4 linked regions of the Caenorhabditis elegans genome follow. The protein of the gene in region 3 interacts with the protein of the main gene of each other region in a pairwise test. Each region holds a gene or a part of one and is shown on either strand. Other genes may lie near its edges.

Evidence for each region.
Region 1: the proteins of cdc-48.2 (region 3) and ubxn-2 interact in a two-hybrid assay, tested with the Caenorhabditis elegans proteins (3 studies listed by BioGRID).
Region 2: the proteins of cdc-48.2 (region 3) and ufd-1 interact in a two-hybrid assay, tested with the Caenorhabditis elegans proteins (2 studies listed by BioGRID).
Region 4: the proteins of cdc-48.2 (region 3) and ubxn-5 interact in a two-hybrid assay, tested with the Caenorhabditis elegans proteins (2 studies listed by BioGRID).

What each region holds. Positions count from the first base shown.
Region 1 is NC_003282.8:2,718,400-2,728,676, forward strand, and holds ubxn-2 (UBX domain-containing protein 2), read right to left. Parts: upstream 7,421-10,277; coding exon 7,410-7,420; intron 7,359-7,409; coding exon 7,248-7,358; intron 7,192-7,247; coding exon 7,044-7,191; intron 6,948-7,043; coding exon 6,841-6,947; intron 4,795-6,840; coding exon 4,500-4,794; coding exon of another isoform or gene 4,431-4,499; intron 2,705-4,430; coding exon 2,616-2,704; intron 2,311-2,615; coding exon 2,166-2,310; 3' UTR 1,914-2,165; downstream 1-1,913. Other genes in the region: ndua-12 (putative NADH dehydrogenase [ubiquinone] 1 alpha subcomplex subunit 12), read right to left, coding at 103-258, 1,335-1,435. UniProt on the Caenorhabditis elegans protein: Ubiquitin-binding protein which acts as an adapter for ATPase cdc-48.1 and/or cdc-48.2, conferring substrate specificity.
Region 2 is NC_003282.8:12,327,377-12,333,446, forward strand, and holds ufd-1 (Ubiquitin fusion degradation protein 1 homolog), read right to left. Parts: upstream 3,515-6,070; 5' UTR 3,499-3,514; coding exon 3,421-3,498; intron 3,400-3,420; exon of another isoform or gene 3,394-3,399; coding exon of another isoform or gene 3,334-3,393; intron 3,273-3,333; coding exon 3,135-3,272; intron 3,086-3,134; coding exon 2,874-3,085; intron 2,804-2,873; coding exon 2,343-2,803; intron 2,276-2,342; coding exon 2,136-2,275; 3' UTR 2,032-2,135; downstream 1-2,031. Other genes in the region: F19B6.3 (FLYWCH-type domain-containing protein), read left to right, coding at 1-523, 576-856, 904-1,135; F19B6.1 (Uridine kinase), read right to left, coding at 4,205-4,339, 4,382-4,730, 5,281-5,663, 5,713-5,910. UniProt on the Caenorhabditis elegans protein: Functions at a post-ubiquitination step in the ubiquitin fusion degradation (UFD) pathway. In association with npl-4.1 and/or npl-4.2 and ATPase cdc-48.1 and/or cdc-48.2, involved in the cytoplasmic elimination of misfolded proteins exported from the ER.
Region 3 is NC_003280.10:8,135,540-8,142,956, forward strand, and holds cdc-48.2 (Transitional endoplasmic reticulum ATPase homolog 2), read left to right. Parts: upstream 1-2,956; 5' UTR 2,957-2,971; coding exon 2,972-3,043; intron 3,044-3,091; coding exon 3,092-3,417; intron 3,418-3,463; coding exon 3,464-4,439; intron 4,440-4,491; coding exon 4,492-5,210; intron 5,211-5,269; coding exon 5,270-5,609; 3' UTR 5,610-5,691; downstream 5,692-7,417. Other genes in the region: ctns-1 (Cystinosin homolog), read right to left, coding at 323-613, 661-901, 952-1,143, 1,235-1,368; ints-11 (Integrator complex subunit 11), read right to left, coding at 5,747-6,100, 6,147-6,230, 6,277-7,417. UniProt on the Caenorhabditis elegans protein: ATP-dependent chaperone which probably uses the energy provided by ATP hydrolysis to generate mechanical force to unfold substrate proteins, disassemble protein complexes, and disaggregate protein aggregates.
Region 4 is NC_003280.10:10,233,333-10,238,607, reverse strand, and holds ubxn-5 (UBX domain-containing protein 5), read left to right. Parts: upstream 1-4,109; 5' UTR 4,110-4,141; coding exon 4,142-4,207; intron 4,208-4,247; coding exon 4,248-4,377; intron 4,378-4,425; coding exon 4,426-4,754; 3' UTR 4,755-4,775; downstream 4,776-5,275. Other genes in the region: F-box/WD repeat-containing protein mec-15, read left to right, coding at 344-469, 515-601, 926-1,005, 1,448-1,535; pugs-6 (BPTI/Kunitz inhibitor domain-containing protein), read right to left, coding at 3,100-3,346, 3,793-3,912. UniProt on the Caenorhabditis elegans protein: Probably acts as an adapter for ATPase cdc-48.1 and/or cdc-48.2, conferring substrate specificity. Unlike other UBX domain-containing protein does not bind 'Lys-48'-polyubiquitinated chain.

The sequences.
Region 1 (10,277 bases), on a different chromosome or scaffold from region 3:
CATTTTCTAGGCCATTTCTAGGCCATTTTAGGCCGATCTAGGCCATTTTTCGTGTAAAAAACAGCAAAATTGTTCATTTTTCGTCGTCATTTTTTTGCGTACCATTCCGGTGGCACTTGAGTCGCATCATAGTCGAGCCAAACTTTGTCGGGAAACTCGACCCAACGGTTGCGTGGCACGAAATACGCGTTATTCTCGTAGTAACGATTGCCGAAATTGTCCGAACCGACGAGTGTTCCGACGCGGGTCGCGTCCATTCTGAAAATTTGAGAAGATTTTTATGTAAATTGAGCGAAAATGGTGTAAAATTGGCCTAAAAATCATCATTAAAAAACAAAAGAAATCGGTGGCCGAACTTTTCGATTTTCTAGGCCACCATGTGAAAAGTTAGTCCCCATCGATTTTCGCTCGTTTTCAGGTGATTTTAAGCGATTATAAGCCCGCGCGGACTAACTTTTCACTCGCTGGTCTAGAAAATCGAAAAGTTCGGCCACCGATTTTTTTTTCGGTTTTTTATGTTTCTCCGGTCATTTTTCCGACGCGAGTCATTCGAAAAATTCAATTTTTCAACCGAAATTTTGATGAAATTAAGCGAAAATAGTGTAAAATTGGCATAAAACTCATTAAAAAAAAAACGGTGGCCGAACTTTTCGATTTTCTAGGCCATCAGGTGAACAGTTAGTCCCCCACACAAAATTGACCTGACGTATCGCGCAGGATGTCCAAATGAAATTGGGGGACTAATTTATCACTTGGTGGCCTAGAAATCCAAAAAAGTTCAGCCTCCGATTTCTGACAGATTTCATGACAAATTTCGTACATTTTTTGAATTTTTTAATACTGAAAAATTCAAAAAAAAAATTCGTGGCCGAACTTTTCGATTTTCTAGGCCACCAGCTGAAAAGTTAGTCCCCGCTGATTTTCGCTCGTTTTCAGGTGATTTCAAGCGATTATCAACCCGCGGACTAACTTTTCACATGACGGCCTAGAAAATCGAAAAGTTAGGCCATCAATTTTTTGATGTATTTTTAAAAAATAAAATTCGATTGTTGTAAATCGAAAAAAAAAATTAAAAATTTGTCAGAAATCGGTGGCCGAACTTTTGGATTTCTAGGCCACCAAGTGAAAAATTAGTCCCCCAATTTTGTTTTGACATTCTGCGTGATAGGTCAGGTCAGTTTTGTGTGGGGGACTAACTTTTCACCTGATGGCCTAGAAAATCGAAAAGTTCGGCCACCGATTTTTTTTTCGATTTTTATGATTTTCAGGTAATTTTCGACCGTTTTTCTTCTAATTTAGTGCATTTTCAGCCATTTTTCCACCTGAAAACTTACAAATAACGCTTCTTAAGCACCGCTTTGACACCTCCAATCTCCTTGACCATTTGGCCAAACTTTTGGATTTTATCGATTCCCAGCCACGCTTTCAGGGACATCTGTAATGTAAATTTGGTTGGAAAAATGGGAAATTTTAACGGAATGTGGGGAGGAAAAACCAAGCATTTTGTGAATTTTTTCAAAAAAAAATTTTTTATAAATTTTTTGGCGAAAAACTCCATATTTCCTGTGAAATATGATATTTTTCGAGTTTTTCACTGAAAAATCTTGAATTTTTTGAAAAAAATCAGGGAAAAATCGATTTTTCAGTGGAAAATTGGAACAAAAAAAGTGAATTTTTACATTTTTTGAAAACTTTAAATTTTTCACCAAAAAATCGCAGAAGAAGGATTTTTCTCTCTGAAAAATTGGGAAAAAATCTGAAAAATTCAAAATTTGACTTTAAAATTGAATTTTTAATGGAAAATTTGTAAAAAATGTGCATTTTTCACTAAAAATTGAAAAATTCTGAAAATCTGGAAAAAATAAAAAAAATATTTCAGAGCTTGAAAAACTCGCAAATTCCAAAACAAAAAATCAATAAAAATCGCCGCAATTTTTCACAGAAAACGGTGTACTTTTTTTATGCATTAAAGTGTGATAGAAGAAAGAAAAAAAACGATATTGGGAAATGGGGGGAAAAAATCAAATAATTTAGCGTAAAATACAGGTATTTTCAGGGAATTTGAGAGGTTTTGGGGGGTAAAAACGAGTAGAAATTCGAAATTTTTTCAGATGAAATTTTCAATTTTCAATTTTCCCGCCAAAAAAGCAGCGTCAGGAATCTCCTCAGTTGGTGGTGGGCAAGATTTTCACGGCGACGACCGAATTGAGCACATTTGCATCCTTCAGAGTCTGTGATTCGTCTTCAAATGGTTTTGGAGGGTAGGCAGCCATCATTTGGAATGGAGCGTAGATCATATCTGGGCGGGCGCTGGAAAATCAAAATTTTTAAATTAAAAAAATTTGAGTTTTTTGAAAGAAAAAACTAGAAAAATGTAATTTTTTAATTTGAAAAATGTAATTTTTTAATTTGAAAAATGTAATTTTTCTATCACTGTGTATATCAGAAAAATATTATTAAAAAATAATTATTCATTGGAAAATTTCGAATTTTTCAGGCTAAAAATGTGATTTTTAGATGATTTTTTTATTTTTTTAATTCGAAATTTTCTAAAAATCTACTTTTTCTAGTGAAAAATGAGAGTTTTTAATAGCTTTTTCCGGCTGAAAACTCACGTGCAAATGAATGTACGAACTGCTTCAAGTGTGTGAGAATGATTAAAAATACCGACGAGACGCTGATTGTTTGGCAGACGGATTTGGATCTGAAAATTTTGTTAAAATTAATCAAAATATCAGGAAAGAAGCCACAATTCGACTGAAAATCTATAATTAGAGCCTGAAATTTTTTTTTTTCGAAAAAGTAGATTTTTCTCCGTTTTTTTTGTGTTTAAAATCATATGAATTTTGTAGATTTTTATCGATTTTTTTTTGCCAATTTTTATTGATTTTTTGAAGGATTTTACGACCTTTTTGTGATATTTTTATTGATTTTTCACGTTTTTTTCAGGAAAAAAATCTGATTTTTTCCCAGAAAATGAGCGTCGGAGAGCAGAAAAGCGTCCTGATGGTGTGTTTAGGTACGGTTTTTAGGTGAAAAATAGGTGGCCGAGGTTTGGGTTTCTAGGCCAGCAATTTTTTATTTGGAAAATTGACGAAAAAACGGTCAAATTTGCGCGAAAAAAATTGGTGGCCGACTTTTTAAAACAGTTAGGCCACCGATTTTTTTCGGGTTTCCCATCGAATAATTAGTAATTCAGCACATTTTTGTGAAAAATTGGAAGAAAATAAAATTTTAAAAGTCGATGGCCGAACTTTTGAATTTCTAGGCCACCAACTGAGATGTTAGTCCTCCACAAACGTCTTCTTGCCATTTTGAATTGTGTCTAGCTATTTTCAAATGGGCTGGACTAACTTTTCACTTGATGGTCTAGAAATCCGAAAGTTCGGCCACCGATTTTTTTTCCCAATTTAAGCGAATTTTTGAATATTTTATTATCAGAATCATTTAATTTTAGAGTGTTTTTGAAGCTTATTTTATCCGATTTGAAATTTTTCAGAAATAAACTGATTCTGGGATGTTTTTTCTAGTGTATAATTGATAACATATATTTAAAATTTAATTTTCAAAAGTTTGCAGTTGATTTTAGCCTAATTCTACTGAATTTTTTCTTTGATTTTTCTTTTTAAAACTGCCAATTTTAGCCGGTTTTCCTCCAAATTTCACAAATTTTCGCTCCAAAACCGTACAAACTCCGTACATTTTCCACTGAAAAATCGATTTTTCCGATTTTTTCCGAGCAATTCAAGATTTTTCAGTGAAAAACTCGAAAAATATCATATTTCACAGGAAATATGGAGTTTTTCGCCAAAAAATGGCGAAAAAAATGTTTTTTGGTCAAATTTTTTTCCCCCACATTCCGTTAAAATTTCATATTTTTTACTGAAAAAAAATCCCATTTTTCCAACCAAATTTACATTACAGATGTCCCTGAAAGCGTGGCTGGGAATCGATAAAATCCAAAAGTTTGGCCAAATGGTCAAGGAGATTGGAGGTGTCAAAGCGGTGCTTAAGAAGCGTTATTTGTAAGTTTTCAGGTGGAAAAATGGCTGAAAATGCGAAGATAAACTATCAATAATGACCGGAAAAACATAAAAATTAAATGAAAAATCGGTGGCCGAACTTTTGGATTTCTAGGCCACCAAGTGAAAAATTAGTCCCCCAATTTTGTTTTGACATTCTGCGTGATAGGTCAGGTCAGTTTTGTGGGGGGGTCTAACTTTTCACCTGATGGCCTAGAAAATCGAAAAGTTCGGCCACCGATTTTTTTTTTCGATTTTTATGATTTTCAGGTAATTTTCGACCGTTTTTCTTCTAATTTATTGCATTTTCAGGTCAGTTTTGTGGGGGGACTGAATTACTAATTGCAGTTGATTTTAGCCTATTTCTACTGAATTTTTTCGTCCATTTTTCTTTTAGAACTGCCAATTTTAGCCGCAGTTTTCCTCCAAATTTCCAAAAATTTTCGCTGCTCCAAAACCGTAGTACAAACTCCGTACATTAGTCGTTGGCTCATTCATATTGGTGCTCAGCTCCTTCTTAGCATCTTCCAGCTGTTTTGCCTCATTTTCAGCAGTATGATCCGGGTTATGATCAGTTGTTGCAGATGATGTCCCAGCAGTGGTGGCAGACGACGATGATTGTCCCAAAACTGTTGGGACAACATTTCCCAAACGGACTCCACTACCGCCGAATGGCTTCATCTTCGGAGCAACGTACTCCTCGTGGTGGCGGTTCACTTTGAAATCGATTTCTTTTCCCGGATATTGTTGAACAAGTGATGGAGGGATTTCACTGAAAAAAAACAAAAAAAAAATAGAAAAATTAGTGAAAAATGGATTTTTTGGCACTTTTTTCGGTAAAAATTGGAGAATTTTCAATTTTTTTTTCGTGAAAATTCATCACAATTGAGTTTTTTTTCAACGAAATTTGATTTTAAAATCGGTTAATTTGTAGAAAAATCGATTTTTTTGCTAAAAACTGAGGAAAATATTGGAAAAATTTGAGTTTTTTGAAAAAATGGAAAAAAAGTTCCATTTTTTTTGGGATTTTTCTCGAAGAAATTGGAGAATTTTGAGCCAATTTCAACATTTTTTCGTGAAAATTCATCAAAATTGAGTTTTTCCAACGAAATTTGATTTTAAAATCTGCAAATTTGTAGGAAAATCGATTTTTTTGCTAAAAACTGAGGAAAATATTGGAAAATTTTGAATTTTTTTTAGTGGATAAAAATGCCTTTTCTGGAATTTTTCCGACAGAAATTGGAGAATTTTCATCATTTTTATGTGAAAATTCATAAAAATTGAGTTTTTCCAACGAAAATTGTCATTTAAATCAGCTAATTCGTAGAAAAATCGATTTTTTTGCTAAAAAACTGATTAAAATATAGGTTTCCTCGGTTTCTTAACAATTTACAACTGAAACAATGCGTTTTTTGCGATAAAATGCTAAATTTTCAGGCAAAAAACCGAGATTTTCTCAATTTTTATGTGAAAATTGATTAAAATTGGCATTTTTGCACAAATGTTGATATTAAAATCGCCGCCAAAAATCGTTGCAAAATCAAAATTTTTTTGGCGTTTGCTGAAAATAAAATTAAAACTATATGAAAAACTCAAATTTTGGACTAAATTCTACATGAAAACAGCTTAAAAGTCCCAATTTTAAGTAGAATTTTGCATTTTCAACGATAAAATCATGATTTTCCTGCCAAAAAACCGATTTTTATGTGTAAAAATTGATATTAAAACGGCTAAATCGCTAGAAAATCAATTTTTGGCTGAAAATTGGCATTTCACAAAAATTATTTTTGGGGAATTTTCAAATTTGCAGGGAGAAATATCGGAGATTTTTGGAGAAAAATTGGAAATTTCATGGTTTTCTGTAAAAAATTTTTTAATGTGAAAAAAAATGAATTTTTTGGCACTTTTCTTGAAGAAGTTCGAACATTTTTAAGCCATTTTCAACATTTTCTATGCTAAAAGTTATAAAAATTGAGTTTTTTTCAACGAAAATTGCTGTTAAAAGCGACTAATTTGTAGAAAAATCGATTTTTTGGCAAAATTTTGAATTTTTTGAAAAAAAAAGATAAAAATTCCATTTTCAGGAATTCTTCCGACAGAAATTGGAGAATTTTCATCATTTTTATGTGAAAATTCATAAAAGTTTTTTTAAACGAAATTTGATTTTAAAATCAGCAAATTCGAAGAAAAGTCGATTTTTCTGCTAAAAACTGAGGAGAATAGTGGAAAAAATCGAAATGTGAACAATTTTCAAGAGAAAATCGCTGAAAATCAGCTTAAAACAGTGAAAAACATCAATTTTAAGCTAATAATGCCCAAAAATAACTTAAAAAATGCAATTTTCAGCTGAAATATTGCATTTTTAGCATCAAATTTTTAAATTTTCGGCCAAAAAATCGAGATTTTCTCATTTTTTAAGTGAAAATTAGTTTAAAATGAAGATTTTTCACATATTTTATTTGTTAAAATCAATAAAAATCGTGGGAAAATCGATTTTTTTTTTGGCGAAAACTGGACAATTTCCAGGTAAAGTTTGCTGAAAATAGGATTACTATGAAAAAACTTTGAAAAACTCAAATTTTGGACTAAATTCTACATGAAAACAGCTTAAAAGTCCCAATTTTAAGTAGAATTTTGCATTTTCAACGATAAAATCATGATTTTCCTGCCAAAAAACTGATTTTTATGTGTTAAGAAAAAATCTTGTATTTTGTATTTTCAGTGAAAATTGGATCGAAAATCTTGATTTTCTCGTCAAAAAAATCCAATTTTCTCTCGATTTTCTTCAAGAAATCCTCCATTTTCCGTCATTCCGTACCCTTTTCCGACGCTTTCCAAGAATTCAATAGTTCTGGGGTCCTGGCGAGACATTAACGGGCCGTCTTCGATCGATAAGCCGTCGGACCACAGGTGAAGCGTTAGGCTCTGCAAAAAAATATCGATTTTAAAGCAAATTCGCCGCGCAAAAAATGAGCAGAAATCAATGATTTTCAGCTATTTCAGCAGCCCACCGCGGCTTACAATAGTTTCTCTCCCTGACGGGCGTCCTCTTGGAGCTTCTCCTCCCTCTGGCTGAACCACTTCGGCGGCCTGAAGGATTCTCCGAATGTGGGCTTCACTATCCGGGCCTCGAGCAGCAGCTCCACGTGGTCCTTGAACTGCTTGTCCGCTGAAAAATCCAAGTTTTAAAAAATTTTAATTAAAAAATCTAGGAATTGCGGCTACCTTCCAGCGTAAAATTCCTGTGGGGCTCCTCTCTCGGCGGCATCGGCTCCTGAATCGTCGCTGTCCGGCCCCCCATCGTCGTTGTTTCCAATGTCACGAAACGTGCGAATACTGCAAGTAATTTATCGATTTTTGAGGTTGAAAATCGCGGGCGACACTCACTTTCTGCTCATTTTTTCCGGGGTTTTGTGGTGGAAAATTGAAGGTTTTCACTGTAAAAATATTAAATTTGAGAAAAAATGAGTGAAAAACAAAAAAAGAACGACGAAAAACCGATGGAAATAGGAAACAAAATAATAATGATAAAACGCGCCGAGAAACGCGCCAGCGCGTGCGGGAAGTGCGTCAGCAGCCGCTGTTGACGCAATTCTTGTCGGGGGCACGTTTCCAGCAGCGTCCAAATTCTGCGAATTGATAATAAATCAACAGTTTCTTTGGGGAAAAACTTAAAAAACAATTGTGAACTGAAATTTTACCTGAAATCGAGGAAAAATTCTAATTTTTCTGAGAAATCACGTCTAAAAGTGGATTTTGATAATATATTTGAAATGTCTTTATTTTTAATATTCAAAATTTTACTCAAAAGCATCAAGAAACCATCAGATTGAAAAAAAATCCCACTGACTATGAGAAAAAAAAATTTAAAGTCGGTCCATTGGCGCACTTCTCGTGCATCGCGTGGAAAATTGAGAAATTACCGAAAACGTTCAATTTACTGTTTTTCTTCATATTTTTTATAACATAAGCTTTGGTGGAAGATTACTTTTCAAATATACATCAATTTCCACTAGAAAAATGATGATAAATATACGAAATATGAGAAAAACTCAATTTTTAGATGTTTTTTTCTTTTTATATCATCGCTTTTATTTTTGAACAAAAATCAAAAATCTTTTTTTTCCTTCACCTTACCCTCAAGTAGCTTTACAATTGATACGTAATTAAAAAGTTTGAAATCGATTTCAAACCCATGAAAACTGAAGGAAATTACTTTTCAACGGCAAAATTTTCCCACGCTCACGAGAAACGCGCAAGCCCCCTGTTGTTGGGTCATTTCCACGTGAGGAGGCTGTGAGTCGTTGTTTTGAACGACAAGTTTTAAAAATCTGCAAATGGACTAATCAAAATTATTCTTGCATGCAGGTATTATACGGTAGCTTCATTCCTTTACACACATCATGATCAACCCAAGTTTCCGCAAATGTTCCGAAACTTTAGAGCCATCCTACTCCAAGTCAAGTAGGCTACGTGACACAGGATACCGATTTATTCCTGTAGTTTCAAACCATCATTTGGTTTTTGAACTTAATTTGACAATTTCAAATTGCTCGGGAAACCACGGGATCCTTCACTGCAACTTTTTCCTTACGAGGGACGAGGAAAAGTGGTTTCTAGGCCATGGCCGAGGGGCCGACAAGTTTCAGCGGCCATTTATCTTGCTTTGTTTTCCGCCTGTTTTCTTTCGTTTTTCACAGCTTTTTCCCGTTTTTTCTTATTAAAACTGATAAATAAATACTTTTTGCAGATGCTAAAACAATTTCCAAGTAAAAAATTATTGTTGTGTATTGAGCGAGTGACAAGGAGAGAAGAAGTTTATTACAAGAGAGTGTAAGAAGTAATGAATTATAAAGAGAGGTCGCTTACGCGATAAGTTCATGATGACCGAAAGGTCACGTCTGTATAAAGTTCCAACCTCCGCCTGCCTCTCGCCACAACCCGCTTCTTATGCTAACTAGTGATTTGATATTTATCAAATTTATAGAAATGAGAAAATTATATAATAAATTTGTAAATTCACGTAAAAATGCAAACAATGAGCAGGAAGGCTGGCGGGCAGGTCCCTGAAAACGCGCTTGCCTACCATGGAAGTTGTTTCCTATTGTGACCTACATCTTTCCCGCTTGCTCTGTTGTCCTCTATCCCTCTATAAAAATCAGGTGATTGTGAATTAGAGTTTTCTACTACTTGTCTACTACAATCTTCATAAAACAAAACGGAATAGATGTTAAACATATTTATTCAAATCGGAAGAAATTTAGAATGTAAAATTGTTAGATACAATTGAATGGTATTTAGGGGGAATGAGTCTCGGCTCAAAATTCATAACTATTTTGTTGCATAACGATTGATTTGACAACGTGAGAACGTATATAATCAACCACGATGTAATAATCTTTTATTTTACTGTAATTTCAAAATTCTCGAATCACCAAATGTTCCAAGAAACTTCCCCCAGGAGACATCTCACAAAAACACGAAGCATTATTGTTTTCGAATCTCTAACTGTAATCTTACATTTTATTCCGAGTTGATAGTGAGTAAATTTTACCCATCAAACTCAGATAAAAACCTGCAAAGAAGTAAAATCAGTAGAGTTTTTTTGATTATCATAAAAGATAAAATCTGTGCTGCCAGCTGAACGAAATTGCCGAATAGTATACATTTTCGCAATTTCCAATCTATCAATATACAGGGTGCGCCAAAAGTATGGTAACACGTGAAGCGCTCTTTTACATGAGCTTTTCGCGCGACTGCCACTTCATACATACAATTTTCTATAGAATACTGATAGCTGAATAAATTTCCTTCAATTTGACCTAAAATTTGTAATGTTTCCCAATAAGGTGTAACCTTTATCACCTCGGCAATTTGACGAACCCTTTCGGCAAAACAAAAAAAAAGTTTTGGCACGCGGCACTTCCCACACAAACGCACATCCCACGCACGCCAATAATTTTCAGATCTATGATTTTTATGTTAAATTCAAAGTTAAAGAAGTGAAGAAGCGTTTTTAATTGTTTTTGTAGTATTTGAAAATTTTCTGTATCGACACTGGCGCCTAGAAAAAACCTTTGAATATTTCATGAATTCAACTTTGCGAAAATTACTCAGTTTTTTTTGTCTTCACAAGGTGTAACGACCCACAAAATCATCCGAGCTTAATCTTCTATTAAAATTCTTGAAAGTCAGATCAAAACGTTCCCCGAAAAATACTAAAATGAGTTTTCCTGCATACTGCTGCCGCCGCTC
Region 2 (6,070 bases), on a different chromosome or scaffold from region 3:
AACAACAGCCCAAAGACGCGACCTTCACTTTGATTTTGTCTACAACGGACGAAAGATCTTTGATTTCACCGAAAGAGATGCCGGACAGGATCATACTTGCATGACTACAATGACACTCAAGTCCTCCTCCCAACCAGCCACGGAACCTCTTCAGGCACCAGAGCCTGTAACACAGGATTCTAATCCTTTGGAGACAGTTGGAGCATTAAACAGCGGATCCCAGACCGACAACAACGGAATCGGTGGCCCAGCTGGCGCAGTCATTATTGGGGAGCGTATTGCCAAAATTGAAAACTCATCGGAAGGAGTTCTCTTTACTTCTGAGTCGGTTGCCCTTGACGCCGGGACGGTCGAGTCCGCTGTCGAATTTGCAAGAATTGACAACATTTTGGACTTTCCTAGCCTTGAGGTCGCAAAACGTGATGATGATGATGCCTCTGCTATATCTACAGTGGCTGCATCCAATTCGGAAGCCTCACTCGTGGCCAGTATCCCGAATGTTTTCAAAGTTGAGAACATCGTGGTAAGTTACTGATAATGAAACAAGTAACATCTTCCTAATTTTGAAACTTCAGGAACCTCCACAAATGACAATTATGCGATGGGAGGGGTTTGAGTACCGAACAAACCGCAGGTACAGGACCGTCTGCAAAAAGTGTGAAGGGCTCCAGCGCCTCAAGTGCAACCACATTTTCGAGTTGGATAAGCAATCCAATAAAAGAGTTGCTTCGCAACCAATGGATATAGATGCAAAGCGTCCGAGGACTTCGCATGGAATAACTATCAGCCTGTTCAAGGACTGCACAAGGGTCCCATTCAAGGCCCAATTTCCAAAGAAACTTGAGGATAAATATGGGTAAGTAAATAATTATATACTTTTATTTTACTATTTACATATTTCAGAGTCAAATTCACCAAAATTGAGCACAGCAACATGCCGTTCAATGACGCGTCGAGATGGTGCTACTTCAATTTGGAAGTGTCAGAGGAAGATTTGGCGAAACTCCCGATATTGGATGACTGGGTGAATAGCTTCAAGGTCGGGAGCATCAACAAGAAAGCGGATCACTTTTTTCACCGAAATCCTTCCAGAAGAGTTGATTTTGATCATAGTTATGGCTACTCATTTGGATAATAAAAGCAAGGAGCCGTCAATGCAAGCAATCGATCTTATCTACGATGAAGATCACATGTTCGCAGCACTCCACGACGACGCTGCCGTTTCCAAAGTTGGAGAAGTAAGTTTTCTCGTTATTGAAAGTTGGATTATTTTGCTTTTTCAGGTATGCTCAAGAAATGCGAAAGCATTCATGCTTCGTAAGTGGAAGGAGCTCAAACCTCCTGGAGTGAGAACTCCGACAAAGAACTGATCCACCTCTTCAATCTTCAACATCCAGCCATTGTAGGCAATTATGGTATTTTATGTTTGTATCCCAACTCGTATAATTTGTTTCTCCGTTCTCTCGATTTGCTTCAGCTATCCTACTTTCTTTTTTTTTGTATTTTATTCGATTCTTTCGCCGTATCAATAAATTAGTATTTATTTTAATGATTTTTTGGTGTTGTAGATGTAATTTTTGTATTGAGACTTGACTTTTTCCTGCAGAATCTTGACTATTTTCGAGTGATCTTTTGTGAAGCTATCGACTATTTGGACCTTTTTCTGCAAAAAATAGAGTTGGCTTTCAAAACAGCATTTTCTCCAGGTTTTTTCATTCATAGAAGTTTGGATAAGAAACCACTCCACCCATCACTGACATCGCTGAAGGTTCATCAGCTTCATGGCCGAGCTCCTTGAATATTGAATTTTTCGATTCAACAAAAAAATTTCAATTGAAAAAGTCCATTTGTGTGTTTTCGGAAGCACAGACGCTAGCCAGAATTTATGATCTAAACAAGTTCTGCAATTTTTTAAACCTTACAAGGCATTTTTGTAACAAGTGAATAGTTCTATAATATTAGTTATTTCATTTTTTTCTCCGGAGATCTCCTTCAATTTCATCTCTGAATCACACTTATCAAAGAATAATATATTCAAATAAATTTATCCTGTACAAAAAAGTGGCGATGAACTTTTACAAGGTTATGTGAAGTGAAAGATGTTATTCATAGCACAATTGGCCAGATTCGAGACATTAACGGGCTCCTCTCAGTGTTCGATTGCCTCCACGGAAGACATTTGACGGTTGTCCTGCCTTGCTGGCTTCTTTCTCTCGGAGCTCTTTTTCGAGAACATCAACACGTTTATAATCATAACGAAGGAATGAAACACGACCTGAAAATCATAAAATTTAACTTTTCAATTATTTTGAAATGTTTATTTCAGATGAAACAAGTATTACCTGGTTTGTAGTCTTCATTGACAACCACTGGTGGAATAGCTGGCAAATCATTCGCCACTGGAGCTGCATTACTCGTACTAACACCGGTTCCATCTGAGAGTGATACTGAAGATGATGGCTTCTTCTTTCCATCGAGACGACGCCCAGCTCCTCCGAATACAGAAGTTGCATTTTGTCCTGTCCCTCCACTACCACCAGCTTTTTGTCCAGCTCCAATAAATGCGGATGCATCTGGCGCAGGCGGCTTGGCAGTGACAGCAGGAGTCACCTGTCTCGGTTGTTCAACGTAGCCTTCTGGAGGATCGAAATCGAGATTAACATCACATTCAATGATGCACACAGAGTTGGCCGGTTTCAAATCAACGACGAGGAATTCGAGAGTTTGTCCAGCATATGATGTTGGGATCCGATCGTTTTTGGTGAGGCATGCATATTTTCGAAGTTCCACTTCAAGAACAGCTCTGAAAAATAGAAAAATATAGGACTTTGTTCAAAAACTTCAAAAAATTATTAGAGTTTATGAAAACTCACTTTGGATTAGTAATATTCAGAAACTCGAGTGACATCGGCTTCAATTTAGCAAACGTGGCTTTCGGAAGAGTTGCAGACTCAATGCGAATGGTATCTCCATCGTCAAGTCCCAATTGCTGCATCATCCAAAGTGGCAGAATGGCTTGTCCTTCTGGAGCAGAAAATTCAAGAACACCGCAATGAGTTACACGTTGAACAGCCATATTGGTTAGCTGTAAATTTTAATGGTTTTCTAGTTACTTCAAGCTATACAAAACAAACCTTGAAAAGCATTGGCATCGGAATATTATATTGCATGAGCAAGTTGAGAGCAGATGACGGCAGAAGAATCTTTCCACCATAATTGATTTCGCTTATTTTTGACTGTGTTGCATTGGGAAGGAATACGGGCCCATATACCTGAAATTTAATTGTTTATTAACGCTGAAATATAATCTTTGAAATCCAATTTATTATTTACAATGAGATCGAAATGACGAGTAGTTCGGCGAAGTTGTTGTTGAAAAAAGTTTGCAAACATCTTTCGAAATGAATTTTAAAAGCTCACCACAAAAGTTTGATCATAATTCCCGACTCGGCCGCCCATCTGCATCCCGTGAAGTCCTTGTTGTATCCACGCTTGCATTTTTATTTTTGGTTTTCTGAAAAGTTATTAACGTTTTCTTCAACTATAATTCAAAAAATACAAAGAGGATGAGCCAACCAAGAAAAGAGAGCTCATTGATCATTTAAATATTTAACAAACTGCAATTTATTATAGAAAGAAATTACTAAAATGCACGTGTGAAGGAAACTTGACAAAAATTGAAGAAAAACACAATGAACAACATGAAAAAGAGAATGCGTGAATGGATGATGATATTAAAACCGATTCCTGCAACGACAAACGCGCTCCGTTGAACAAAAAAGAAATGGAACAACGAGAAAACCGAATGTCGTGTACAGATTTTTGTGTGGAAACGCGCAAAGATGTAGAGGGAAGAATTTAACCGTCACAAACAACGCGAAAAAACACTAGAAAGAACAGGGTATAAATGAATTATCGAGCTGAATGCCAGAAATCATGAAGAGAAGTCAATAAAATGAAGAACGGAAAAAAAGGACGACAAAAAATGAAATAGCATATAAAATTTCAACAACAAATGGAAACAAAATGTATAGAAGGATGGATATGATGATGGGAAAGAAAGAACATTATGAATAATTATAATTATAATAATAAAGTTAGTGAAAAGGAACAAGAAAGTAGGAATTCATCAGATGAAATGGAAGGAAAACAGAAACTTTGATAAATTATGAAGAAAATTGATCATTTTTGTGATAACAGATGATCACATATCGAATGGCTCGTCCATGTCTTGTTCGAGCCCGGTTCCGTAATATCGATCACCAAAATTGCCCATTCCGGGAATCAGATAGCAATTTTCCGTCATTTGGTGGTCCATTGCGGTGGTGATTAATTTAACCTGAAAATTAATAATTTTTAATTCAAATAAAAAATTGTAAACCTTCGGGAAGGCATAAGCCAGTGCATGTGCACCTTGTTGACCCATAAGCAGAGATGCAACAAATATGTCTTCCTCTTTAACATCATGATCAAGAAGTACACGAATTGCCATCATCGCAGCACTCCCAGTAGTTACGGTGGCGTCCATAATGATAACTTTGTATCGAGTTATGTGTGGTGGCAAACGTATATAATGAAGTTCTGGATCAAACGTCGTCTCGTTGGTTTGAATCAAAATTTTTCCGATCACGCAGTCCTTGACGATTGAGCGAAGAGCAGTCTCCATACATTCGCCGGCTCGCATGATTGGAAGACCACAAATCTGAGCGTCCTTTCGTTTGCCAATAGTTCTGAAATAAAAATTAAAGTTTCTAGATGGTTGAGCCTATTTTAGACGTTTTCAATTGTTTAGTTTTCAAGTTTTATTTAGAAAAAGTTTATTCTTATATTGGAAACAATAGAACATTAATATCCGAATATCCGAAACCAAGATCTGAAACTTTGCAATTCTTAAGCCGAAAATACGGTAGCCGGTCTCGATTCGACAGATTTTTTGCTGAAAGAGCGCCTTTAAAGATTACTGTAATTTTAAATTACTGCAGAATTTTTATTGATTCTTTGTAGTTTTTCTATAAAAATTATTTCTGTATTAAAAAACTTGATTGAAACCATAAACAAAACTTAAAATAAAACAAAAAATCCGCAGTGATAAGAAATTGAAACTACAGTACTATTTCAAGGCGCACACTTTTGTTTAACAAACATTTGTCGTGTCGAGACCGGGTACCGTATTTTTGCAGTCAGATTCAGAAATTTCAGAAAGGTTGGCGCTGATTTCAGATTTCAAAAAGGAATTTTCAAATCTTGCAGTGACCATTTTTCAGTTTCAAATTTACTCACTTTCTACCGCCGGCCATCTCAATCTCAACATCTTTGTAAGGCATATGATTCATGCATTCTTCAATAAGAATACGCATTAATCGATCAGAATAGAAAATATGATTGTCTCTACTCGTTTCTCGATCACGAACAAACGTGACAAGACCTTTGACCTGTGGAGTTTCTTTTAAAATGAACAGGTTTTCCGGCAAACAATCCGGTAGATCGTCGCGAACCAAATCGTGACGATCACGGTTGTTCTGATTGCGATCGTATCCGCGTTCAACGAGCTGTGCCATCACGTTCTGCACGATCATGTCGATGGCGACGTCGTTCTCTCCACCGCGCGGAACGATGAGATCAGCCGAATCCATGCATGGTGCAATGTATTTGTCGAACGCCGGCTGCAACTCGAAAGTTACTTGAGACGACGAGTTACAACAATTCTCTTACTTTTACAAATGTAAAGTACTGCTCCATGATGCCGTCGATGTCACGCCCACGATCAGTGACATCCCGAACGATACGACGAGCTAGACGAAGATCTCCATCCGTGTCGACGAACACTTTCATGTCCATTAAATTCTTGATACGCTCATCATGGAACGCGAGGATTCCTTCGAAAATCAAAACGTCAGCTCCATACATCATCTGAAAAGCAAAATAAAATAATTCCATCTGCAGTTTTTTTCCGAAATTGCTAGTAATTTCACAAGATTCCCATTTTTTCGGAACAAAAAAAAAGGATATTTGTAACAATTTTTACATAAAATTTGAAGAATTCGGCAAACTCGCTAAAAATGAAGTAAGT
Region 3 (7,417 bases):
AATATTTTTTGATAATTTCTCTACGATTGGATAAAAATATTTTCGATTGAATAAAATTATAATTTAAATTAACATGTTTTCGATAAAACATCATTTTCCCAGCTTTTTTTCGTGAATTTTTGATGACGATACAGTACTTTTTAAGGCGCACAACTTTTTGAGTTAAACAAAATCTGTCGTATCGAGACCGGATACCGTAGTTTTGGCGCAAAATTTCGCGGTCAAGTTTTGAAAACTTTTTTGGAAAAACTAGTAATTTAAAAATAATAAAAAATAATTTCAGGCTAGAATACTGTTTACAAATGGACAATATGAAACAAACCTGTGGGAAATATTTACAGCAGGTTACAGCCATTTTTATGTACGACAAACTGGTCACAAACGAGAGCAATTGAATTTTCCTGAGAACCGTGGCGGCAGCGGAGCAGAATCCAAAAGAGATCAGCACAATCATAAGGGCGATACATTTTGAAGAAACACTCTGATTATCACGTTCATAGAATAAACATTGAAGAATTGTGATAAAGCAGGCAAGAAATGCGTGAACAGCGAACACAACATCGTTCAAAAGTACTGGTGGCGGTGACCGAGGATTCACAATATTGTATTCATTCTGAAAGAAGATGAATTAATTTTAGTTATTTATTTTCTAGTTCTCACCTTTACATGACTATTATAATACATTAACAGATTGAAAATAGCATATGCACAAAATCCGACAAGGTTCAGAGATAAGAAATCGAAGTTTAGCCCGACGACGCTTTTTCTTTTGAAATTCAGATACATTTGGGGATAAAACGAAATACTCCATGCGAAGAAGTATGTCCATCCAACAATTTGAATCAAAATGGCAAGAAAGTGAGAGCGAATAACTGTGATTCTAGCAAACGCATCTTCAAGACTGGAAATGAGTTTTGATTTAATTTTTACAATATATAATCATCGACTCACTCCAGAGGACAAGTAATTGACCCATCTGTAGTACAATTGAGAGCTTCTAAAATAGCTCCGGACACCAATTGGCTTCCTAAAACTGTCACATTAGCATTCCAATTGTCAACGAGAATAGCATCAGGATGGGAGATGTATGGTGACTGCGAGAGGGAGATACGTGTTGCGTTCAATGATTGTGATGTGTGGTTTCTGAAAATTATATTGATTGAATACAGCACATGTTCGTATGATTGTTTTTATTTTATAACCTGTTGGATGAAAAATATTATTAATAACTCACTTGATCTGGAAATTAACAGAGACTTCTCCTCCAATTACAATTTCCAATTCTTTCTGTCTAACAACTAAATTATTTGTCGCAAATGTGAATGGAACCAAGAAGAGAACGAGCAAAAATGCCACCGGGAAACTCATTATATCATTCTGGAAACAATTATACTTCAAAAAATGGAAGCAAAATATAAAACAGGAGTTGTGAATAGAGAAAACGACGCTTTATATCATCAGTTTTGGCATTGAAATGAATCAATAACATAAATTGAGCGAGAAAAAGAGAAACAGCAAAATAGTGAAAAACGAATGATTGACCGAGAGAACGGGGGAAGGTTGGAATTTTTGTAAACAAACGAGGGAAACATCATGTTGAAAACATATATATACACATTTTTTATTTAATGCGTCGGAATATTCAGAAAATCGTTCAGATCATCGATAATTTTTATTGATAAAAGACCAAAAATCCAGTTTACATGAGGAAAACAATACACTGTGAATTTTAAAGAAAATTAAATATTCCAAAAAAATTTAATTTAATTTGTAATTTGGGAAACTGAAACAATAAAACACTATCGAAAACTTAAAAAAAAACATGGATTGAAGCTCAAAAAAACTGTTTTAATGTTTCGTTTTGTAGAACTTTAGATTTTTGTAAAGCGGGAGACACCACGAATCCGCAAGAAGTTTCTTCCAGAAGCAGATTCGCTGAAAAAAAATGAAGTTGTCTTAAACCTGATGCTTTTTTTTGATAATTTTTATACATTATGTGGTTTCCTGGTTGGCCATTTTGTTAAAATCATTATTTCCTGTAATAAAAGTCAGGCGTTCTCAGTTATTTCCAGATATCGGATTCCTAAAATAGCTGAACTCCAAAAAACGGTCAAGTCTCTGAACACCAAACGCGCTCCTTCGAACAAAAAAAGCAGCGCGTACGTTTAACGAACAGTTTTTTCTTCTAGAAATTGTTTTCTCATTGCGCAATGCATTGCTCATTATAAATAATTATGTTTTAAACAGTTGCTGGGAGGTTTTCGCTATCTCAGTCGTTGTTAAACAATTACCAGAGTGTGTTATCGTATTTATCTTTGCCGTATAATATCTTTTCCATATTTATGCGATTGCGGAAATTTACCACTGACTCTGCGGAAACTGCGGAAATTTACCACTGAAATATCACTCATATCGTACGTTTCTTTGAATTCGTCTCCTTGTTATTCAAATTATGTCTTCGTTTTTGAACGAGATATTTACCTCTAGCTTTCTAGATCGTCACATCACTTAGGTTCGCCTTGAACTTCTGTTCCGCTAAAGACGGCTGGTTCACATATATTTTTAACAATGTAATTATTACTTATGACCCGAATAAAACGGTAGAACGCTTTGTGAAATTATTCGAAAGCAAATGCGCCCCAAGGAGAGAGTGTGAATGAGAGGCTGCGTTTTGTCATCATGTAGAGGCAGCATTGGGGTGTTCTGTAGAGAACTTAGTCTACGTGTCTCATCTTCCATATTTCTTAATTTTGTTCTATTGGCTCTTTTTGCATCTCTTCTTTGATTCGATTCTTTAACTGAATTAGATCAGAAATTATACTTGAAGTTTTATCTTGAAAACCTACTGTAGAAAAGTTTGTCCGTGTTCTACTTTCTTATTAGACTTTCGCGTTTCGGCCTTTCCTATGTTCTACCCCCATCTTCCGTTCTTTTTTATTATTCCAAGATTTTACAGAGAAGTCGTTTAACCATGGCCTCAGTTCCGACTCAGAGAGACGAGAAGGAAAAGAAGAATGATGAGCTGGCTACGGCTATCTTGAAAGTAGGTTTTTCTCCAAGGTAATCATTTCAATATAATTAACTCTTTCAGGACAAAAAACGCCCAAACAGACTCATTATCGATCAGTCTGACAATGACGACAACTCCATGGTCATGCTCTCACAGGCCAAAATGGACGAGCTGGGACTCTTCCGTGGAGATTCGGTGATTTTGAAAGGAAAGAAACGAAGAGAGACTGTCTCTATCGTTCTTAATGCGGACAATTGCCCGAATGACAAGATCAAGATGAACAAAGTGGTTCGAAACAACCTCAGAAGCCGTCTTGGAGACGTTGTCAGTATCTCAAGTGCTCAACTCGAATATGGAAAAAGGGTTCATGTTCTTCCAATTGATGACACAATCGAGGGATTGACTGGGTATGTTCTTGCCACGGAGAAATAAAGACTGTATTTTTTATTTTAGAAATCTATTTGATGTCTTCCTTCGGCCATACTTTACCGACGCCTACCGCCCAGTGCACAAGGGAGACATATTCACTGTTCAAGCTGCAATGAGAACTGTCGAGTTCAAAGTTGTCGAGACGGATCCTGCTCCGGCGTGTATTGTTGCTCCAGATACTGTTATTCACTATGAAGGAGATCCAATTAAAAGAGAGGAAGAAGAGGAGGCTCTCAATGAAGTTGGATACGATGATCTCGGAGGTGTTCGTAAACAACTCGCTCAGATCAAGGAAATGGTTGAGCTCCCACTTCGCCATCCCCAACTTTTCAAGGCTATCGGAGTGAAACCACCACGTGGAATTCTTCTGTTCGGTCCACCAGGAACCGGTAAGACACTGATCGCAAGAGCTGTCGCCAACGAAACAGGAGCATTCTTCTTCCTCATTAACGGACCGGAAATTATGTCTAAAATGTCTGGAGAGTCGGAATCGAATCTTCGTAAAGCATTTGCCGAGTGTGAGAAGAACTCACCTGCTATTTTGTTCATTGACGAGATCGATGCGATTGCTCCAAAGAGAGAAAAGGCTCACGGTGAAGTCGAGAAGCGTATCGTCTCGCAACTTCTCACACTTATGGATGGACTTAAAACTCGCGCTCATGTTGTCGTGATCGCCGCTACTAATCGTCCTAACTCTATTGATGGAGCCCTTCGTCGTTTCGGTCGCTTTGATCGTGAAATTGACATTGGAATCCCTGATGCTGTTGGCCGTCTGGAAATTCTCAGAATTCATACCAAGAACATGAAATTAGGAGAAGACGTTGATTTGGAACAAGTTGCAAACGAATGCCACGGATTTGTCGGAGCTGATTTGGCTTCCCTCTGCTCTGAGGCTGCTATTCAGCAAATTCGCGAAAAGATGGAGCTGATTGATTTGGAGGATGATACAATTGATGCTGAAGTTCTCAATTCTTTGGCGGTCACTATGGAGAACTTTAGAGTAAGTTATCATTTTTTTGCACTTAAGAGACGTATCATTAATCATTTTTCAGTTCGCAATGGGAAAATCATCCCCATCTGCTCTTCGCGAAGCCGTTGTGGAAACTCCAAATACTACTTGGTCCGACATCGGAGGTCTTCAAAACGTCAAGCGCGAACTTCAGGAGCTCGTTCAATACCCTGTAGAGCATCCAGAAAAGTATCTCAAGTTCGGAATGCAACCATCTCGTGGAGTTTTGTTCTACGGTCCACCAGGATGCGGTAAAACACTTCTCGCTAAAGCGATTGCCAATGAATGCCAGGCTAACTTCATTTCCATCAAGGGACCCGAGCTTCTTACTATGTGGTTCGGAGAATCCGAAGCTAATGTTCGCGACGTGTTTGATAAAGCTCGTGCTGCCGCTCCATGCGTTCTCTTCTTTGACGAACTCGATTCGATCGCAAAGGCCAGAGGAGGAAGTGTAGGAGATGCTGGAGGTGCTGCCGATCGTGTTATCAACCAGGTTCTCACTGAAATGGATGGTATGAATGCCAAGAAAAACGTGTTCATTATTGGAGCTACCAATCGTCCTGATATCATTGATCCAGCTGTTCTTCGTCCAGGACGTCTCGATCAGTTGATCTACATTCCTCTTCCTGACGAAGCATCTAGACTTCAAATTTTCAAGGCCTCACTCCGCAAAACGCCCCTTTCCGCCGATCTCGATTTGAACTTCCTTGCCAAGAACACCGTCGGTTTTTCGGGAGCCGACTTAACCGAAATTTGCCAAAGGTTTGTTATAAAAATTAGTTAAAAAAATATTCGCATTTGTCAATTAATACCATTTTCAGAGCATGCAAGCTTGCCATTCGTGAATCAATTGAACGGGAAATTCGTCAGGAAAAGGAGCGTCAGGACAGAAGTGCTCGTGGAGAAGAACTTATGGAGGATGAACTGGCTGACCCAGTTCCAGAAATAACTAGAGCACACTTCGAGGAGGCAATGAAGTTCGCTAGACGTTCCGTGACTGATAACGATATCAGAAAATACGAGATGTTCGCCCAGACTCTTCAACAATCTCGTGGATTTGGAAACAACTTCAAGTTCCCAGGAGAAGCTCCTTCTGCTGGACAACCTGTTGGAGGAAACGGTGGCTCCGGTGGAAATGACGATGATGACCTGTACAACTAGATTTCGCTAAAATTGTTTTATTCTATTTATTGTAAATGCATCCTTGCGAGGGTATCAAATGTTCTCATGAATGTTAAATTTATTTCCAACTTTTACAAGTAAAAAAATCGTAACCGTAAAAAGTATTTGTTAAAATCTTATGCTTTAACAGAGATAGCAGGAGGGACCGGGGAGGATTCGGGTGAAATGAGATCAGTGATGGCTTTATGGATAACCTTGAACCACTGTTCACGGCATTCGTCCCAGATCAGTTCAAGCTCTGTTTCATCAGAATTGTTTGCTAAAATAGTGATTTCTCCATCAAACATTTCAATGCCGTCGTCTTTTAGTTGCAAGTGTGGATCATAGAGTAGAAGCTCGTTTGATAATTCCTTCCAATTCACTTTTTTGCCTTTGATGATTTCTGACAATGAGAGAGTGATCGGCATGCAGTTTTTATCTTTTATCAAATCTTCTGATTCTGCTGTAGACATGATATTCAGTCGTTCATTCTAAAATTATTTGAAGTTATTGCAAAATAAAGTTCAATAATCTTACTTCTTGATCGTAAACGAGCTCGGCGACAAATGGGCATTCCGATTTGGCAGGATTCGGATCGAGGCTTAGGCTTCTGTCAATTTTCTGGAATTTTTTATTTGAGTTCAATTTGTTTTAGAAACACACAAACCTCAAGTGGAACTCGTATATCAAGCTTCGGTTGAGCAGAAATCACTACAGTCTCTCCGTTTGCTGGCATGTGAACAGGTACTTTGTACTCCTTTTCCACTTTTCCTTTCAAGAACTCCATCTTTGAAGCTTCGCCGTGCACAAACATGACGTGTTGAGGCTCACATTGACGGATAAGCTGCATAATTCCTTTAGCATCAGCATGAGCACTAAACGACATGTATTCCACACCAAGTCGAATTTCGTGCATCTTTTGATCAATTTCAATTTTCTTTTCGCCATTAATAACTCTTGCTCCAACTGTTCCAGCGACACAGTAACCAGGCATAATGATCATGTTCAGAGGATCTGAGCACCATTTTTTGAAAACTTTGAGCGATTGACCTCCGTGAAGCATTCCAGGAGTAGAAAAGAGAACCTGAGGTCCTGGTTGATCTTCACATCCCTTTTCCATTGGTTTGATATGCTTGAATTCGAACATATTTCTTTCTACGAAAGTTTTCTTAATGTTCTCGTTGGTCCAGCTGATGAAAAGTCGGTAATACTGATTTGCCCGTTCTGCAAGACCTTGGGAAAAATAGATTGGTACGTTGAGAGCCATTCTCTCCCAATATGATTCAAGCAGGATACACAGCTCCTGCGCTCGTCCCAAGGCAAAGACTGGAATAATTACTTTTCCTCCTTTCATCACACATTCATGAACTTTTCGAAGGAAATCTCTTTCTCTTGCCCTTTTCGAATCACGGATTGTGGTCGCATATGTTGACTCAGAAATAAGGACAGTTGGTCTAACACCAGGAAGAACTCTCGCCGCTCCAAGATGCCTATCTGGAGTCATGTTGTAATCACCAGTGTATAGAACAGAATGATCTCCAAGTCGAATTTCAAACATTGCAGCTCCAAGAACATGTCCAGCATAAAATGCACGAATAGAAAGTTCGTTGTCAACGTGAATAATTTCATGAAGTGCACATCCGACAACCTTTTTCATACAATTCTTGATGTCATCTGAGGTGAAAAAGTTTGTCTCGCCTTTGATGTCACATTGAACTTTTCGGTAATCTTCCAATAAAACTGGGCAAATGGCTTTTGTAGGGTAAGTCATGTAAATTGGTCCGTCGTATCCCACAATTTCGCTCATA
Region 4 (5,275 bases), 2.1 Mb from region 3:
TTGAAAGAATTAAGAATCAAGAAATTTTCCATCGATTTTTTGTATTTTTCGTTAAAACATACTCATTAATTCAAAAAAAAACTAAAATTAAAAATTAAAACGCACATTTAAATTTTAACAAATTGTGAGAAAATCTATGAAAATTCCACAGAAAAAAGTTGAAACTACAGTACTCTTTAAAGGCGCACACCTTTTCTAATTTAACAAAATATTATGTGCCGAGACCGGTTACCGTATTTTTGAGTAAAAAATTGCTACATTTAGATGCTGGGTGATTTAAAAAAGCATTTAAAAAGTTTTTTGAATCAAATTTTAAAAAAAATAATATGAAATTGAATTACAGGAATATTCTCCAACAGCATATAAATCATGTCTATCGCTTCAATGTAATCAACTTCTAACATCAACATCCGATGGAAAAGTCAAGTTGTATGATGCAAATAATTTCAACGTTTTGCAGACATATTCGGTAGGGAATATAGAATATTATTCAGTTAATATAAATAATTTCTAGGTCGGTTCCTATACCCGTCAATCATTTTTGGAGCACGGAGCACACTTGATTATGGCGCGAAGTTTGAAGCGTAATTACACATTCAGTGTGAGTAGAAACCATTTTAAGAAATTTCATAGGTCCCCCTATTTTCCTGAGAATTCGTTTTTTTTTTGCAAAATATGCAAAAATTCAGTGTTCCACTCTTTCCGTTTGTCTCTCTTTTTCGAGCACAAAAAATGAAAAAAAAAGCAAAGATGGATGTATATATTCGGAATTCGATTTGTCACAAGGCATTTTTTTGGTTTTTGGTTGCTTTTTTAGCACATTCTTGGACTCGGAAGAAAAAAAACCACATATCTAAAATTTTGAACGAACGAAAAACAGTGAAAATATGCATTAATTAGAATTTCAACCCGATTAAATTTCCAGATCTACAGCCCAGGAACACGTAGTCAGCAGTGGTGTGCTTCACATGAATTGGCCGCGGAGCCAGCCAAATTTGATTATTCGTAAGTTTAGTTGTTAGCACACAAAATTAATTGAAAAAATTTAAAAAAAACTTCTAAAAATGATAATTTGTAAAATTTTCATATTTTTCAGAAAATTTTAAATTTTCCAATTCTTCAAAATTTTGTAGGTTTAAGCTCTTAAAATTGCCAGATATTTTGGAATATTTTTAAAAAATTTGGATTTTCGAATTTTTAGAAAATTGGAAAATTCTTTATTTTTCGGCATTCCAAATTTTCAGAAAATTTTTTGCTTTTGGAATTTCCAACAAAATATAATTTTACGGCTTTCCAAATTTTCTAAAACTTTGAAATTTTTTGAATTCTTCAATTTTTATTTGTATTTTTCGGTTTTTCAAATATGCAAAAAAAACCGGTATTTCTGAAAAATTGAAATTATGCCAGATTTTTTTTTTGAAATTGACTAAAAATTTTATTTTTTCAGCCCATCATCGAGAACTCTGGCAATTGGCAATGGTGATAGCTCAATTCTGTTCTGTCTTCCAGCATCGGCTCCGGATCAAGAAAACTGAATATCTTCTCAATTTCTGAACATTTCCTTTGTGTATATACCAAATATCATTGCCATTTGATATGATCTCTTCTGAATCGATATCATTTAACTTCATATTTTATAGATTTGCATAATTATGAAATGTTTTGGCCCCTTTCCATGCTTCTTCCTGTTTAACCCCGTTTGGTGCACAGTTTAGCGCTCGCCCGCAAGAAAAACAATGGTGGAGCTCACCTGGAGCATCGTGTTATTTGTCTTTTGGCAAATACACAAAACAGTCTTCTCTCTTTCTCGGCTCGTGCTGCGTGGCTCATTTGCGTATATACTCTAAGGAGTTATGCATGGAACGTTTGGAACGTTTGAAGAAGAGAGCTCAATGTCTATGTCCCCCGTGTGCTCTCCGGAGACAAAGGGTTAGGCGGAGAGCAGCAATATGAGCATTTTGACAAGTACTCAAATATTTCTCCATTGTTTAGTTTCGAGATAATATGGTTAAAATCACAAAAGTTTCATGTTTACCGGAAAGATTTTCATAGTTAAAGTGTGCCATGCGGAGCCGGAAATCTAGAGAATTTCGTCGAAAATTTGAAATTCTTGGCAATAAAGTTATTATGGATCTTTTGAAATCGAGGCGCAAGGGCGCTCTATGGCACTCTCCGCCCCTAGACGTTGGGTCTCGTTAGGAATAGAATCCGGAAATTCGAATTTTAAATGTTTTTGTTGTTTTTAATGATTTTATGTCGAATTTTATGAATTTATATAATTTCGACATAAAAACAACGATAAATAATTAATTTCTCAGTGGAGCACATTTGCATTTCGACTTCAAAAATCGCATTTTTTTGCGTCCCTATAATAACCCCCTACTTAATATTTTTACCAACAAGATGTTTTGGTACACAAAAAGTGCATTTCGAGAACTAAATAATTGCTCCGAGAGCCGCGTTTCCCCTATTCACACTAACTCATTTTATCCAGTTTTGCATGTAAAAATCTTTTTATGCACAAAAAAACAACACGGGAGAGACGGAGAGCAAGATTTTCCTCTTTTTTCAAGAAAACTGAGCAATAAAGACATGAAAAGGCAAGGATTTATTTCAAAAATAGTTATTATTATACGTTCCAGAAAAAATTACGAACGTATAATAATTCGTAAAAGAATTAAAATAAAATACAAAAGACAATGTGTGAAACCGGGGAATTTAGGAAGGAAATAATGGGAAACGATGCCTACCTTGAAGGACAATCAATTGTACCGGAAAAAGACCAAAATGCATTATGAAAATGGAAAAAATGCAAGTGCGCTCTATTGATGTGTCAATAGTAGAGCGTACATGCATCAGATACTAAATTCAAAAACTAGAAAGGATTAGGAGATTTTCGAGAGTGAGAGAGATTCTAGACAAGGTTAACTGGAACTATAAAAGGAAAATGTAAAGACAATTATGTTCAAACAGAAGCAGTGGAAGATCGATTTGGGTTTTACACTTTTTGACAGTGTATCTTTTTTTGAATTAAACAGAGAAAATTTGTTACAGAGAAAGAGAAATAAAAAATCAGATTCTCACCCAAAATTTTCAAATTTAATTCAAGCGATGTGCTCTTCCCTTATGGAATGTTCCATCAGCATACGATCCAAGACTTTTTTCTTCTTTTCCAGCACATACTTTATCACAATCAACGACTCCGTAGAGAGTGAGATGTCCAATTGGTTTTGTGCTCATTTCACGTTTTGGGGTTGAAGCCTGACGTTTCAGCTTCTTCTGACGCTCGTGAAAGGCTTTTCCGTACTTTCTGGGGCGCTTCTCGAGGACAAAGTAGAAGGACCAGCTGGAAAATTTAAATAATTATTAAATTTGGTAATGTGTATTTATAAATGTTTTTGAAAAAAACTTTCCCCATTCCATTGAAATTTTTTGCAGAAAACCCCTATTTTTAAAGGTGGTGTAGCCATAATGGAGATTAAGCTTTAAAATTTTTTTTAATTGGTGTGAAACTCAGAAAACCCACAAAAAACATCGATAGAAAAAGAAGAAGAATTCTCCTTTTAAAAACTATATTTTCCAATTTTGGTTTATTTCTTTTTTTTTTTGGAATTCGCTCCAAAATGAGAATTTCTAGATTTTTACGAAACGGATCCCATTGGAAATCACAAATTTCGGAATAAAGATTAACCATTTTTTTGGTAAAAGTTCAATTCTTAAATATCTATCAAAAGTTGATAATTACATACTACTGACATAATTATTTTCCAACGCACACACACTTTCACTCACTCTGCCACTTTATGCGACCACGGACGAAGATACGTGCATCCTTCTTTATCATCCGGGAACCAAAACTTGTCTAATGTACAGAAGCCGCCTTCTCCCAGAATACATGTGTATGAGTGAAGCCTGAAAATTATAGTTTTTGAATTGTTATTAGAAATTGGAAATTGGAAAGTATTTGAATTTTTTGAACTGTTAGAAAGTACTCTTAAAAATATATTAGTTTTAAAAAATCCTGAAAAGAAAACGTGTGAATTCAAAAATAAATAAAATTTAGACTTTGCAACGTCAAATTCTGATAGCAAATTTTCAACAAAAAAATCATTACCACATTTTCACTAACTACCACTAGACGATGCCAACTAACAATCACGTACAAAAGGAGAAGTTTGCGGAGGATCGTGCTCTGTTGAGCCAACAGGTTAGATTCGGATTATGACAGTGATAAGTTAGAATTTCAGAACAAAGAATATGCGGAGAGTCTTGCCAAGGATATTGCAAAGAAAGAAGAAAAGGATAAAATTAGATTTGAAGCTGAACAGAAGGAGCTGAGGAAGAAAACCATTCAGGATTACAGAGAGAAGTTGAAAGGTAATTTAGAACCCATAGTTGCAAATAATGCAAGCTGGCCTATTCCAGGAACTGTATCACAAGGACCCCTCCGTCTTCTAGTACGATACCCCAATGGTTCTCGATTAATTCTGAGCTTCTCCCCATCACAACCGATGACTTCACTTTTTGATGCTATTATTTTGAATCCGGCGTGCCCTGACTATTTCTCGGTTCGAAGTGTCTATCCTCGTGCGGAGATTCATTGCTATCCAGCATGGTATCACACGATTTTCAATGCAGAATTCAAGGATGAAACAGAAAAAGGAGCAAATAATGTGGCGAAGGAGACGAATGAAGTAAAATGTCTAGAAACTATTCCGAATAACTCAATCCTCTACGTGAATTTGATTCAATGAAGTCAAACTCATCTTGACTATAATGCAGGGTATTTCATGTAGGCGCCAAGATGCCTAGCTGACCTTAAGGAGACCTTCACCTGCCTCGCGCCTTTAATGCCTTTGGGTGACGTGAGGCAGGTAGGTTCCAGGTAGGCTCTCACGCCGCGCCTGCCCATCACGGAAGACCTTCACTTAATGTATGCCTGATACATATAGAAATTCAAAAATAGCCAGACTTCAACCAAACTTTGGCAAGTTGTGGGCGAGAATTTTAAAAAAGTTCTCCATATCGATCAATAATTAAAATTTATTAAACTTGGCCAAGCTCTTGGGTTGAAGTTCATTGAAAATTTGCTAAAAGTTGGTTCAAAGTGTGGTGAGATGATTTGCATTAGAGAATGAAGGAAGTTTGGTAAGCCGTGAGCTAACTTGGGTGAGAAATTGGCAAATTGGCAAAACTTGGTAAGAAATTCCAAAGGGGAAATCTTGACGTAGAATCCAAGCTGAACTTCGAATAGATACTGGTAATCTTTCTCTGT